2 linked regions of the Lytechinus pictus genome follow. The protein of the gene in region 1 interacts with the protein of each later gene in a pairwise test. Links are inferred from orthologs where the notes say so. Each region holds a gene or a part of one and is shown on either strand. Other genes may lie near its edges.

Region 1 (8,401 bases):
TCAAGGTGGAATCTTTTTCTCTCGGTCAAGAAAAAATATCGCCACCTCTGTGTGGCACGACGAGGGGGGGGGGCATGAGGCAATGCCCCACCCCGTTGCTTTTCATTCCAACACCCCCTCCCATGCACCCTATACACGCTAAAAAAAGTTTACCCAATACTGGGTAATTGAACATGCATGTTTGCTGGGTAAAATGATACCAAATTTTTAGTAAATTTAAAGGTCAAGCCCACCCTATAAAAAAGTTGATTTGATAAAATAGAGAAAAATCAAACTAGCATAACACTGAAAATTTCATCAAAATCGGATGTAAATAAAAAGTTATGACATTTTAAAGTTTCGCTAATTTTTCACAAAACAGTGATGTGCACAACTAAGTAACATGCAAATTAGACAGTCGATGATGTCCCTCACTCACAATTTCTTTTATTTTTCATTGTTTGAATTATGCAATATTTCATTTTTTACAGATTTGAACTTGACTGAACCATAATTAAACAGAGCTTATTACACATGTTCAGGGAGGAATTAATCGTTGTTTCACTTGTCAATGAGGAAAAAATTCGAAAATTTCATTTTTCATAAAAGAAATAGTGAGTTGGATGACATCATAAGTTTCCTCATTTGCATACCGACCAGGTTGCTGTGCATAATCAGGGGCGGATCCAGCTCCAATAGGGGGTGGGCCCAAATTGCTTTTCATGCATTTTTCCCCGATCGGCCGCTCAAAGTTGATTTTTGTTTGTTTCTTTGAAGGGGTTGTCTCAGTGGCGCAATGAGCCTAAAAAAATGAGGGGCTTAATACGGCATATCACATAAAATTAATAAGAGTTGCGAGCAAAAATTTTGACATTTTGAATACTAAAATCAAAGTTTGTGATAGATTTTTACATAACATTTGAAAAATGATAGGCTTATAGTCACACTTATTCCTTTTTTTTTTGGGGGGGGGGGCAAAATGCCGATGTCCTAACAGTAATTTCTTTGCTTTATTCTTATAAAACAACATTTAAAAAGTGTAATAATCTCATATGCCCTATTTGAATAGTGCGAGCGCGAAGCGCGAGCTGAATATTTTTGGAATATACTGGGCAATGTTTGTGAACCTGAACAAGATGCGTATGTAATTACATAATTACTGCGAGCGCGAGCAGAAATTTTTAATATGGGTTAAGGCTTGATCACGCGCAAAAAGGGACCTATTAAGGACGATTTGCAGTTAGCCATTAAGACGATACATATTTCAACATTTAGATAATGCTAGCGCGAAGCGCGAGCTGATTTTTTTTGACATTCCGACCTATAAAAAATTGACATTCTTAGCACTTTTTGAAATAAACGGTATAGGTATAAAACTAAACAATTGATGCGAGCGCGAAGCGCCAGCTAAAAGATTTGAGATTTCAGACCTAAAAATTGGACACTCTATTCATGTTTTGTAAATCATGAAAAGGAAGTTCCTACATTAATGATGAGAGCGCTCTTAGCACGTTTTGAATAAAGATCAAGCTGCGTATGTGTGCGCGTGTTTTAGAGTTAGACAGAATCTGGGCATTCTGAATACATTTCATTTTTTATCATGAAAATCAATAATGCGAGCTCGAAGCGCGAGCGGAAAATATTTGATATTCCGGTATGAAAAGAGCGAATTTAAGCACTATCTAAAGCACTGATGGAAATTGTGATGTGTATGTGAATAGCACTTAAGAAATGATGCGAGTCCCAGGACCAAAATCCAGTTAAAACCAATTAGAGCAAAACCAATTGAAACCAGTTGGCCAACTGGTTTCAATAGGGAAATTGGAACAACTGGTTCCAATTGAAAAACAGTTGCCAATTGGTTCCAATTGAAAACCAGTTGCCAATTGGTTCCAATTGAAAACCAGTTGCCAATTGGTTCCAGTTAAAACCAATTGGGCAACTGGAACCAGTTGGCAATTGGTTTCAATTGGTTCCAGTTGTTCCAATTTCCCTATTAAAACCAATTGAATCCAATTGGAGGCAACTGGTTTCAATTGGTTCCAGTTGAAACCAATTGGAGGCAACTGGTTTCAACTGGAACCAGTTGAAACCAGTTGGTTTCCAACTGGATCCAATTGGAACTTCCAGTTGGAATGAACTTAATTAGTTACAAATTAATTAGCATTTGCACTATAACTATTGCTCATGCCAACACAGAAGCAGTGTTATATGTCTATTAATATACCAATGTAAAGGGCATTGATAAAATACAGACTTTCATATGTTATATATTTATATGGAAGATCTTCAAATATATGTATTTTTGTTTGATGTAATTTGGTAACAGTTAGTGCATGGTGTACTAATTATCTTTGAATCTGTTTTAATTATATAATCTATAACATTTATGAACATGGTTTTCACTGCTAAGTATTATAAACACTTATCCTAAAAAAGTGTGGTACTTGAAATTGAAAAGAATTAAATAGATACATTGTAAATGATGATGAATCTCATAAAACATTAATCTGTGCACACTGGCAGATAATATGCAAATTAACTGGTTTCAATTGGATCCAGTTGGGTAACTGGAAAATTTCCAATTGGAAACCAATTGGAAATCATTTCCAGTTACCCAACTGGATCGCGTTTTATTTCCAGTTTAATACCCAACTGGTTCCAGTTAGGATTTCCAGTTACCTAACTGGTTCCAGTTAGAAATCATTTCCAGTTGGAAGTCATTTCCAGTTGCCCAACTGGGTCCAGTTAGGAATTTAAGTTGCCCAACTGGTTCCAGTTAGGATTTCCAGTTACCCAACTGGTTCCAGTTAGAAATCATTTCCAGTTGGAAGTCATTTCCAGTTACCCATCTTTCCAGTTAGAAGTCATCTCCAGTTACCCAATTGGTTCCAGTTTGGACTTCCAGTTGCCCAACTGGTCCCAGTTAGGATTTCCAGTTACCCAACTGGTTCCAGTTAGAAATCATTTCCAGTTGGAAGTCATTTCCAGTTACCCAACTGGTTCCAATTAGGATCTCCAGTTGCCCAACTGGTTCCAGTTAGGATTTCCAGTTACCCAACTGGTTCCAGTTAATTAGAAATCATTTCCAGTTGGAAGTCATTTCCAGTTACCCAACTGGTTCCAGTTAGGATTTCCAGTTGCCCAACTGGTTCCAGTTAGGATTTCCAGTTACCCAACTGGTTCCAGTTAGAAATCATTTCCAGTCGGAAGTCATTTCCAGTTACCCATCTTTCCAGTTAGAAGTCATCTCCAGTTACCCAACTGGTTCCAGTTAGAAATCATTTCCAGTTGGAAGTCATTTCCAGTTACCCAACTGGTTCCAATTAGGATCTCCAGTTGCCCAACTGGTTCCAGTTAGGATTTCCAGTTACCCAACTGGTTCCAGTTAATTAGAAATCATTTCCAGTTGGAAGTCATTTCCAGTTACCCAACTGGTTCCAGTTAGGATTTCCAGTTGCCCAACTGGTTCCAGTTAGGATTTCCAGTTACCCAACTGGTTCCAGTTAGAAATCATTTCCAGTCGGAAGTCATTTCCAGTTACCCAACTGGTTCCAGTTAGGATTTCCACGGTTGCCCAACTGGTTTCAATTGGTTTTAACTGGAAATTGTTGAAGTCCAGTTAAAACCAATTGAAACCAGTTGAAACCAATTGAAACCAATTAAAACCAGTTGAAAATCCAACTGGTTTCAATTGGATTTTGGTCCTGGGGTGCGAAGCGCGAGCTGATATTTTTATTATTATTTTGACTTAGGACCTGGGGAGCGTTTCATGAAAGGACTTGTCGGACGTTTTATCCGACAAGTCCCATTTTATCCGACAGTTAACATAGTAACAGTACCTCTCAGCCAATCAACATCAGAGAAAGATGTCAGATCTGACAACTTGTCGGATGAAAATGTTGATAAAACACTCACCAGGACATTCTAGGCCTAAGGACATTTCGTCATCATATGAAACTGATTACTATTTTCCTCTTCCTCTTCCTATATACGCGCGATATGAAACTTGTCGATATTCCTTTCTGAAAAAGGGACAATTTAGTTATTAGTAATTCATGAAAATTTTATTATCATATATGAGCGTAATGAGTGAGTGAAATTTGTTGACATTTGAAGCCTAAAACCTCCATATTCTAAGCACTTTTGTAATCATGAATAGGATTTATGAGTTGATATATTTTTAACTATTATTATAAGCGCAAATTGCGAGACGAAATTATTGATAAACTGTCATAAAAGGGGGATTTTAAGTAGTTTGTTAAATAATTATTATATATAAAGAATCTTATGGAATAAACAAAGACAATATATGTAGGCCTACTTGACAAATCAAATAACGCCAGCGCACAGCGCATAAAGCTGCAAATGATGTTCACACTATAAAACGGACATGCAGAGCACTAAAAAAAAAATCAATTTGTAAATCAAACAAAATAATAAAAGCTCCATGTCCGAGCTGAAATATGTTTTGTATATTGACTTCAAAACTTGATATTTTAAGCTACATATCAGCCTATCAGTGAGCAAGATAATCTCATCGAACAGGCTATGCGAGCGCGAAGCGCGAGCGAAAATTTAATAATGACATGAAATAGGGCCTATATATTATGTTTTAATCATTTTCCAAGTCGGCATCCCCTGACCTTATTTTTTTTCACTCGCCGTCTCCCTCCTCTTATTTTGCTCTTCGTTTTTCCTCTAGCTTTCTTCCCTTTCTTTTCTTTTTTCCTTTCTTTCCCCCTTTTTTTTGCTCCGCCAATAGGGGGGCCCGATCTCCTCGGGCCCCCCTGGATCCGCCTATGCATGTAACTTTTATTTTGTCATAACTTCCTTTTATTTCCATGATCGGATCGGACCATCGGACAGTGTACGTTTCGACAGTTTTCACGTGCATGCTAGGGCGCGCGCCCAGCTTCCGCTCGCGCGTCTTCTTTACCGCTGTGTTTCCAAAATGGCCGAACAGAAGAGAGTTACAACGCTTCCCGACGGCAGGTCGATTGAGCAACTTCGAGTTGTTGATCTGAAGCAAGAATTGAAGAAGTATGGCGTGTCACAAATTGGTAGCAAGAGTCAGCTCGCGGAACGTCTTAAAGCGGTAAGAAAGTTTCGCAGAAAAGGGGCTTCTCACGTTAAAAGTCGAGGGAGATCGAAAATTACCCTCTCGCGTGGGCCATTTCCAGCGTCCCTCCCGGGCTCAGTACTCCGTGCCCATTGCCAGGGCGTCCAACTCGGGGATATGTGCCTTGGCCTTACCGAGACATGGCTGCAGCCGCAGCGGCGCTAATGCAGTTTCGCACCGGCTGGTTTCAAGCAAATTTCCTCACCAGAAATTTATTCACAAATGTCGTGGCAAGTCTCTCAGTCACATTTGTGGTTAATTAATAATATGCCCACCGCTTTTCCAAATATCGGGAACGCCTCCGATCTCGTCTTCTCGACGCGACGACGACGTTATTGTTTGAATTCTCAGTCAGAGTCAGACATCATTTCGCTTGTATTTTAAGTTATCGACCAAAATTGCCTGCGTCAGGTCTTCTGTTTGTTCGCCACAAGTTCACATGATTTGGTCGATAACTTAATGTCAGTCCATATAAAATTACGGCAAAGCCAAGGCAGCGAAGGAAGTGATGTCTGTCGAGCTGTCTGACTGAGAATTCGACAAATGATGTCGAGATTGAAGCTGAACGTGAAATACAGCTGTTCCTGATTGCGATATTCGGGAAAGCAGTGGGCAGATTGACCTTTAAAGGTGATTGAGGGACTTGCCATGATATTTTTGAACAATTTCTGGTGGGGAAATTCGCGTGAAATCAGCAGATGATCATGATGATGCGAAATTGCATTAGCGCATCCCCAGGCCCAGCAGCATTTTGCCAACTGTCTCTGCTTTCTCGGGCTCATGCGTAACCATAAGAAGTAAACTCGAGACAGAGTTCAGTGACATGTTTAGTTGCCCAAACTGGAGCCACATTGTCGGTGTCAAATACTGTCAATATAAAATGGCATGAAAGTGGGTCTAAATTCCTAAAATTTAATTTAATAATCATGACATATAATTTCTGAGGTGACTCACCCAGTCACACTCAACTAAAAAATATGTCGAAACTAATACTAACTTATCATACTTATGTTTCATTCAGCCTCAATTGTATATTAAAAAAAATATTTTATCTCGGACATGTACATTGACCTTATCTTGAATATCATTAATTTCTTGTGTGTGTCACTGTGTGTGCTTGCTGTGTACAAAGTTAATGCCAATTGGTTATTCAGCTTAGTCTCAAAATCATCTGGCACTTGCAGGGCTCGAATTAATAAAGGGCCATTGACGGCCATGGCCGTAGATGCCTCTTTGTTTGGCCATCATGCCCCCCAAAAAAGTTACACTGTCACGGCCATAAAGTTACCTGCCCTTTTCCTTCTGGCCGTCATGCCCCTTTGGTCAAAGAAATGCCTCCTTTCTTTTGATTGTAATGCCCTTTTCTATATGAAATAATGTCAGAAATGTAATTTTACCAATACCTCAGTGACAAGTGACACCATTAAATTGCAGAGGCCAGAGGAGTACATTGTGCATTGAGTAATTCCCCAAATAGACAGAGAATAGTCCATTTATGAGTGGTGGGATTTGGAGGTTTGAGAGAAAATATCTACATGTAGTCATTTTAATATCCTTTAAAATTAATTATGGTGATTTAAAAAAAAAAATTTTGAGGCTCTTTTCTTGAATTAATTATTAGAAAATCCCTCTAGATAATGATACCGTCTGTCTGATATTCCTCAACATGTACCAAACAAGTTAGATAATTTCGGCTTTGAAAGACCTGGAAAGCTCTTAATCGACATTGAAGAATTAATTCTGGGTGATTATTCAACATTTATTGCAAGGCTCCACATTAACTTTTTTTGGTGGTGGCCCATTCGGGCCACCAAAACCATCAAATAATTTTTTTTGGTGGCCCGATATTAAAGTTTGGTGGCCCGAAAAATATAAAGAAAAACGTTATAAATGAATAAAACAAACTTCTGAAATATTCATTCTGCAGCCACTACCACTAAGTTCCTTTCACTTTATACATCTTGTAAGTAAACCTTGTTTGCTGTTATTTTACTTTGCTAATTGATAATTGTTTCTATCGTTGTAAAAATGAAATGATTGAAAGTGAATAAATGAATTGTATTGTTCGCAGGTTGTGTGGACTTTTTTTTAAATCTCTGTATAGAGATAATGGTAAAGTAAATAAATAGTGCATAGCAAAGTCAGATAGATGTACAAAACAATGGTTTTTCCTTCCTTCCTCTTTGAATCCTAAAACCTAGATTATGCATGCCCCAAATCCAGTTTATTTCTTTTTTCTCTTTTGCAGCATATTATAGAAGGAGAAAATCACAGAAAAATATGCTGCAAAATTAGAACAATGCATAAAAGGGGGAAACAAACAAAAATAATTTTCAAAAAGTATATAACAAAAAGAAAACAAATATAATAAAAGAAATTAGTGAAATAAAACAAAAGAAATGAAATGAAGAAAGAAGTAGTTATGGTCTTTACTTCAAAACACTTGCCGACTATAACTTTTACTTGCCCCGGGCAATCGGGCAAGTGCTTATGTAGCAGTCAGTAGCACCCTGCCTTTGATGTTACATTCCTTTGATCTCATCACTTCTACATTGACTCCTTTATTCATCCCATGCTTTACATTCTTCTCATGCTTCACATTCTCTCTACATAGCAAACAAATGTGCAAATTGACTTCGTTATTTTTATGCCATATTTTCATAGAAATGTTTGAACAGTAGATTTGTATTTTTTTTTCAAACTGTAAACCATGATTGTAAAATGAGGACATTTTATTCATTTTCTAAATTTCTAGTATTCGAAACTTTTTTTTTGTTGAGAAAAAATGTTCTTAAACAAATTGATCCTTTTCTTCTAAAGTAATTGTCAAATCCAATTGTAATGGCATAATACTTTAATAGTATTTTTTGGAATCTTTTGAATATAAACAGTGATTATCAATGTTACTAAAAATTGATTGAGTATGATTTCATTATCTATAATACATCAATGAGTTTCAATCAATTACATGTACAGTGCACACAATGTACGTATACATTATAGCAAGCATATGAAAATTACAACTCAATTTCTTACATATGTGAACTTTGTGTGTGTGGGTGTTTGTGTGTGTCTGGGCATATTTGCTAATAGCCATTTCTACCAATATTTGTTGCATATATCTTTCAATTGCAAATTTCAATGTTTTATCTCAACCAACAAAATTACTTCTTAGTTCTTGATACTGTATAAATTTCATAAAATCCTGGATGTACATGTTTCTGTGATTCTAGCCAGGAGGCATTTGGAAAGTTTAAAAAAAATGAAACAATGGAACATACATATGATAAATATCAAATT
Region 2 (8,307 bases), on another chromosome or scaffold:
GTCCTTATCAAAGGACCTTGAGAATCCAATATCTGTAGAAGAACTTGATAATGCTGTCAAGCAGCTAGGCAAAAATAAGTCTCCTGGTATCGATGGACTTACCTCTGAATTTTATCATGTCTTTTGGCCCATGCTCAAAGATGATTTTTTCGAAGTTCTTACCTCCTCTCTTGAATCTGGATTTTTACCATACTCTTTTAGGAGGGCGGTCATTACTTTACTCCCCAAAAAAGGAGACCTCGCTGATATTTCAAATTGGCGTCCCGTCTCCCTCCTCAACACAGACTATAAAATTTTTGCTAGGCTGCTTGCCAGTAGGCTAAAATCATGCATTGACCATGTTATTGGAAGAGACCAAAGTTATTGTATCCCCGGTCGTTCTATTTATGACAACATTAATCTCATTAGAGATATTTTGTTCTATGCAAACACTGATAATATTTCTTTGGCTGTATTGAACTTGGACCAGAAAAAGGCATTTGATAATGTAGATCATGTTTATTTATTCAATGTTATGAAACGCATGGGCTTTGGAAGTCATTTTATATCTTATATACAAATTCTGTATGAAGGGGCTGAAAGCCTTATTAAAGTGTGTGGATCCCTGACAGCTCCCTTCCCCTTTGAGAAAGGAATACGACAGGGATGCCCTCTATCAGGGTTGCTATATACTCTCGCCATTGAGCCTCTCCTGAACTCACTAAGAGAGAACGTGTCAAATCATGCATTAAATATCCCTGCTATTAACAAACGTTGTGTAGTATCTGCATATGCAGACGATGTATCGATATTTGTTACAGCCGATGCTGGCTTTGAATTAGTTGAACAAACTTACAATATGTTTAGTCTGGCCTCTGCTGCATGTTTAAATACAAAAAAATCACAAGGCCTTTGGGTCGGCCGTTGGAAAGGGCGGAATGATAAACCCCTCAACTTTTTTTGGAATAGTGAAGGTCTCCCTTTTTTAGGAGTTCATTTAGGGAACACCTTTAATTATTCTAAACAAAACTGGATTAAATGTAAAGAAAGACTTAATAAGACTTTCATTTCGTGGTCTCGTTTATCGAACTCACTCTCATTTAAAGGCAAGGTATTGATTGCAAACCAGCTCGCTGCATCAAAAATATTTCATGTTCTTGCAGTTCTTTCTCCTCCTGAAAATGTATTAAACGAACTTCAGAATTTAATTGTGAATTTTATCTGGTCAAATAAGCGGCACTGGTTAAAGAAAGAAGTGTTGTATGAAAAACCTGACGAAGGAGGGCTGGGGCTAGCTTGTCTCCAAGCTCGTGTTCTAACTTACAGATTTTCGATTATTCAACGGTTTCTTTCGTTAAATTCTCATCCAGTAAATGACTTTATGGCTCATTTTCTGAGACAGTATTGTAAATTAGGATTTGATTACCATTTGTTCTTTACAAGAATTGATCCTAAGTTTTACACAAGTCTTCCAGTTTACTATAGTGAAGTCCTGCGAGCTTGGTTGACATCTGGAGCTCGAATTGTGACACAATCCCTCTCTTTCAGCCATGCAATTAACATGCCCTTAAGTAGTTTTCATATTATTGATGCAATTGATGTTGATAATTTTTTTCCGACGCGCCTGATGGCATGCGGAGTGAAACTAGTTCGCCATTTGATAAACCACTCAACCGGTCTTTGGATTAAGAGTAGCTGTCTCCAAAAGAACCTTCCAAGAGGACTTCGACAACCATCATCGCGTCTCATCGAACGTGAAACATTACTCATTCGAACTGCACTCTCTAAAGTTTTTCCTACATATTTTAATGACTCAGGCTGTCAACACGAATACTCTGATTTATTGTCTGTTCCAGTAACTCCGATCAACTTCACTCTGGCTTCTTCCGAAAATGGACTTACTGCTTCTTCTAAAGCCATCTACACAATCTACAGGAAAGAACTAGATAACACGACAATCTCATCAAGCTCACATTGGCATGATACTGGATTTCTCGATCCATCTACAAAAGTGAACTGGCTATCTATCTATCAACTACCAACACCTAAAAAAGAGGCTGATATTCAATACAAACTCCTTCACAATATTTTACCGTCGCTCACTGTACTCCATCATCTTAATACAGACATTTCTTCTTTTTGCGGATGGTGCGGAGAAGCAGGAACCATTCAACATCTGTTCATCGAATGTAAAGGAATTCAACCCCCTCTCAATCTTCTTCATAGACTGTTGAACAATCTCCTCCCCTCTCTCAAACTTAATTTTGACCTGTACTGGGCACTCATTCCGCATGCCAGAGGGCGTGACGGAAAGATTATCCGCCTTGCTAATTTCCTTATTATTAGTTTAAAAAGTACAATTTATTTTATGTACCGTACCTCAAATTTCACCGATCCACTTATAATTTGGTTACATCGTCTCAAAAACAGAATACTCTATGAATTTACTTATTACAAATTATGTTCTAATATTGATGCTTTTTCACGTAAATGGTGTATGAATAGATTACTTTTTACAATTAACGAGGGCAGCATTGCATGGCTCATTTAAACATTTGATTTTATAACTCTGTGCTTGTAATCAACCTGATCTCATTTGAATGTTTATGTCAAACTATTCTTTTATTATATACCTGACTTTTGTGATTATAATTTGTAAATAAAGTTTTCATTTGAAAAGTCAAAAAAAAAGTCTTTCTTTCTTTCTTTCTTTCTTTCTTTCTTTCTTTCTTTCTTTCTTTCTTTCTTTCTTTCTTTCTTTCTTTCTTTCTTTCTTTCTTTCTTTCTTTCTTTCTTTCCTTCCACCTTCTTTGTCCTTTCTTGTTTTGTATTGTTTTGCTTTAGTTTGATCTTGGTTTTATGCCTATTGGGTGAATTAAGGGGGTTCGGGTGTCAGTGCGATTTCGTTTCGTTTTGGTGTTCAACTGAATGTATGTGGGTGTATGGGGCGTGGAGCACTCGATTCTCTTCAATTTTTTATATTACAAATTTCATTTAGTTTCACTAAACGTTGAGCAATATTTTTTTTATGCATAACTATGAAAGCTCTTGTGAATTTTTTTAAACATTTTTTTTACGAAAATCATCCGCCTGTGTGAATATGTCAAAATACAGTAATTTTTGTATGATTTTCTGTACTATGATCTATTTGTCTTTGGTGAACAGTGTTTGTGCTGATATTGTAAAACATTTTGCGATGTACCATTAGGCCTACTATAATACGATTTGAAGTGAATGATTTTAATAAATGAAGAGTATGGTTGCAAAAGGTTAGATCCACTTTGGACGATTCTGAGAAAAATCATGTTTTTTATTCTCCCATATTGCAATCAAATTACACTCATGATGTAGGCCTACTATACCCTATAATGTGAACTAAAATTGGGTATTAAAAATCTTCCTATCTTCAAGTTTTTTTGATACATATCTTTAAAGGGATGGTCCAGGCTAAAAGTATTTATAGTTTAATAAATAGAGTAGAATTCACTGAGCAAAATGCCGAAATTTTCATCAAAATCGGTTAACAAATAACAAAGTTATTGAAGTTTAAAGTTTAGCAATATTTTGTGAAAACAGTCGTCATGAGTATTCATTAGGTGGGCTGATGATGTCACATCCCCACTTATTCTTTTTTATTTTATTATATGAAATTAGGTTTATTCAATTTTTTTCCTCCAAGAACTGATTTAGTGCAATAAATATTTATTGCTGCAACTTACTTAATTATAAGGGAGACATATTATTCACACAAGTATGAAATAATGAAAAAATTATGATTTTATGTAATAACATAAGAAAACGGAAAGTGCACTGTGATGTGACATCATCAGCCCACCTAATGAATATTCATGACGACTGTTTTCACAAAATATTGCTTAAATTTTAAACTTCAATAACTTTATTAATTGTTATCCGATTTTGATGAAATGTTAGGCGCTTGCTCAGTGAATTCTACTCAATGTATTAAGATATAAATATTTTCAGGCCGGACCATTATCATTGTGGATCTAACCCCTTTTGCAAGCAAACTGAAATGAATCCAATCCCTTTTGAATAAAAAGAGTGATTTTTCTTTGCCACATTTACTCACATTTCAAATTTTCTTTGTTATAATCAGAGCGACTAAAAATATAGAGGTTCTGAGACAAAAAACCCCAATAAAATCAATTCCTTTTGACAAATGAGCTCTTCAGATGAGTTAGGTTCCAAAATAGGGGTTATTATAGATCCACTCCGAGGAAATCAGTTTTTTATTCTCCCATATTGCAATATTCTTATGCGACTGACTAAATTTTTGTGATACCCTAATACCATGTAAACATAAAATTGGTTATAGAAATTGGTTAAAGAAATCTAACCGTCTTCATATTTTTTAAATTACTTTTTTCCAAACAAAATCTTTGTGGATCTAATCCAGTGGCGTACCTAGGATTTTCCACAGGGGGGGGGGGCAAAACCGTTCGCCAAAAAATTTGACAAGCAAAAAAAAAAGTCTTCAATCACAAATAAAGGATTTCGTACCAGAAAAAAAATTGACAAGCAAAAAAAAAAAAAAAGGTCTTCAAGCTCGTCAGGGGGGGGGGGGGCAATAAAAGTATTCAAGCTCGTGAGGGAGGCAAAAAAGGTCTTTCAAGCTCGTCAGGGGGGGGGGGCAGGGATACGTCCTTTGCATGGGTTGTGGCTCGTCAGGGGGGGGGGGCAGACTGCCCCCTTGCCCCCCCCCCCCGTAGGTACGCTAGTGATCTAATCCCTTTTGCAACCAAATAAATGGATCTTACCCCTTTTGTTAAAAAGGGTGATTTTTCTTTGCCATTTTTGTTCACTTTTTATTGGGAAATTCAACTTTTCCTTGGTATCATTTTAGAGAGCTACTGAAAGTCTATACATTGAGACAAACAAAATTTGATGAAAAATTGATCTATAGCCCCTTTTGCAACTGACCCCTTCAAAATTAATACTTCATGTACGTACAGTATACAAAAATATCATGCTACTAACGATAGATGGCGCTAAAGTTGTGAAAAGCTCGCGTTGCGCTAATTAATTCGCGAGACGTGTTATTTGGGCATTTTTCTAGGGACCGATTTTCGAGTTAAACTTCAGTTAATTCCTTGATCCAATTTATGTTCGATCATGGTAACTATTGAACAACTTTACAAGGATTATGAGGTCCTTGCCGAAGCTGGAACAGATGCCGGGAAGGTAAGCGCGAGAGCCAGATTGATAGCTTTTCGATGGGTGCAACTCTGATAATTGTTAGTTTTCGTTAGGCTACACGTTAACGCAATATGAATTTGTGTGCACGTAGATTATAAATAGAACAAAACAATGACGGTGTATCCGGTCACCCTCTTAAAAAGTCTTATGATCGAAGACGAAGTTGAAAGTCAGGGCGCAAATGCAGTTTCGTCCCGGGTGACTTAGCCAGGAGACTCCTAACAAGTTAGAGAGTAAAAATCATTTCTAACGTATGCTTTAACGTTACTAGGGTGTCTAAAGCCACACTGAAAAGTGTCAGCATAAGACGGGCTGATTTAGGGGAAAATATGGCACATTTTTTTCGGGAAGTTCAGGCTACTACTTTTGTACTAGAAAAATGTGATCTGAATTGATTGTTAACTTGTGTTTGGCATGTATGGAAAGAGAAAATTTAGGGGCTTCTTTTGACAGTAAGGACAAGTTTATATGATCATTTTAAATAAGGATTTAGATAACATTGATTTAGAGATAAATTTCAAACCCTTAATTTATTTTTGTGTGTGTTGAGATTGCCATTTCCCCATGCGTTTTCTATGGGAAAATTAATTTTCTGTTTTGCACAATTTTCTCACTTTGTCGCAATTTTTCATTGTGATCTGGTTTCCAAATCTTTATAAAAATCATACCATCAGAAAGAGCATAAAAAATCCTATTGGATTCTTTATTGAAAAGTTTTTGGCATTAATAATGAATTTATAACAGTCAGTAGGTATGTGCGAATACGGGCGCATGGCGAGCGCTGGTTTTGGCTGCACGGTTTTCGCGCGGGTTTCGCTGCAAGTGGCATCGCCTCTGTCTGGGAGGCTCATCGAAAATGGGGTTTCATGCGCATGCGCACATAGTTGATGCAATCTCGTGCCTTGATACAGACAGTTGAAAATGTGCTCTTTGTACATATAAGTTTCAATGTGGATACTCGCCTGTTAAGTGTGGATATCGGAGCTTGAAAGTTCATCAAATTTTTGGATGCGCAAATGATCGAAATTTTTTAATGGTAAGTAGAACTACGATCCAATTATGTATCTGAATTGTTATAGAATATATTCAAATCAACAAAAAAATTAAAATTAAAAGATTCTATCATTGAGCTGTCCAGATATAAGAGAAGCGAGCTACCCTTGTCACAGCCGGTCTCTCGGCAGTCGAGCTTCCCGATGCGGTGGGCTCCCGTCCGTCTTTCAGCAGTCGAGCTACCGGTACCCGATGCGGAGGGCTTGGTGACGGGAGCGGTCGATAGTGAGTCGTTCATGCTGGATTGAACTGGATCTAAATTGTTTACTTGATAATATTGTGCCTTTTTCTGAAAATGTCTGTCATTATACCGTAGATTGTTATTCTGATATTGATTTAAATATATACATTTTGTCACAAAAACATTCTTTCCTCCTAAGGTTATAGAGTCAACATGTTTTACTTTGATTGTTCAATCATGTTTTATCATTTGGAAACTGGATTCTTTTGGAAGTGGAATATTAATGTTGACTTATTAAATTAAAATGCAAAATCTATAGTGTTTCTTTTTTTTCTTTTGTAGAAAAAAAATATATTTTGAAACTTTTCAATCATGTTTCATTATTTTGAGACTGAATTTGCTTTTGAAAGGGGAATATCATAAATGTTGACTTTTTAATTAAAATGCAAAAATTGTTATTTTTTCAGTTTCTTTTTTTATATATTTTTTAAAGTTTCTTTTTTAAATTATTGTATTGTTTATTTTTTCATTTTTGGGGGGTCATATTTCATTATTAGGAGACTGGATTTGCTTTTGAAAGGAGAATATCTTAAATGTTGATTTTTTTTATTAAAATGCACGAACTAGATGTTGTTTATTTTTTTGTTGTAATTTTTTTCACTCTTGTAAGAAAATACATGAAAACTCAGAGGAAAGAATATTTCATTTCCAGATGGGTCTAAGTCATGTATTTATGTTTTCTTTATTATTAATTTTACTATTTATTTTTTTATTCACTTTTCTTTTTTTTAGGGGCGCAGGTGGGGGTTGTGTTTTGAATTGGAAAATGGGGATGGGATTGGTACAAGTTTTTGTGTCACTTTTGTTTCTCTTGTTTTTAGTGCTTGTTTGGAGCTTTGATGTCTGTTTTGTTGTTGTTTAGAGCTTTGTTATATATTTTTTCTGGTTGTTTTTTGTTTTGTTTTGAAAGAAATAGACCACTCTTTTCCTTTTCTTTTGGCTTCGACTAATAATTTGAATTTATTTATTTTTCTTTAAAAAGAGAGCTCAAACAGGGCCTTAGTAATACAATGTATGTATACAAATATAAGACATTGACAACTGATAGAATATATTAAAACTTAATTTTCGTCCTTCTTGATACTTGAAATAAATTGCATACAATTCTACATACATATTTTACACTCAGCTGCTCATTCCTTCTAAAAAAATGTAATCACATGTCCATTGTCTCTCAAGTCAAAAGCTACATATTATACATGTATAACAAATTGTTGAAACAATAGAATACATAAGGAATTGGTGAAACAATCAAAATCATCAGAAAAAAGCACACATATTTTTATTTGGTCATACAAAGTACAAAAGAAAATGTTTTATATGTAAAAAAGGACCCCCGTACATACACATACAAAATTACAATACTAAGTTGAAAAAGGGCTTGTAATTTATATCAGAAAAACAAAGAAATACATTAGAAATTACAATAACAATACTTTAGACAAATTCATTTAGGAAATTATCTACATGATGCTGTCTTGATGCCAACTAAATTATATGAATTATCTATCATAATCACCTTCATTTGGCAAAAAAAGAGGCGAGTAATTGTGATTTTGTGTTATTTGCATAATTAATTAGAATTAATCAGAAGAAATTATTTTACACATAATAAGAAAAATTACAAGATGAATCGATATACATCAATTGAGCATTCTCTCACCTTTCCATTGATACCTAAATTACTTCATAGGACTCAAAAACAAAGAAGTTAGAACCTGTTGAAGACTTGGGTTCAAAATGGTCACAAAATGGTCACAAAAATGGGTTCTGTACTCCATTGACTTTACATTAAGACAATAACCACAAATTTGGAT

The links.
Region 2: the proteins of apoptotic chromatin condensation inducer in the nucleus-like (region 1) and apoptosis inhibitor 5-like interact in a two-hybrid assay, tested with the Drosophila melanogaster proteins (2 studies listed by BioGRID). The link is inferred for Lytechinus pictus from reciprocal best matches to the Drosophila melanogaster genes Acn and cass.

Annotation. Positions count from the first base shown.
Region 1 is NC_087246.1:59,424,334-59,432,734, forward strand, and holds the start of apoptotic chromatin condensation inducer in the nucleus-like, read left to right. Parts: upstream 1-4,824; 5' UTR 4,825-4,933; coding exon 4,934-5,077; intron 5,078-8,401.
Region 2 is NC_087253.1:11,012,093-11,020,399, reverse strand, and holds the start of apoptosis inhibitor 5-like, read left to right. Parts: upstream 1-4,966; 5' UTR 4,967-5,112; coding exon 5,113-5,181; intron 5,182-8,307. UniProt on the Drosophila melanogaster protein: Antiapoptotic factor. Also known to efficiently suppress E2F1-induced apoptosis.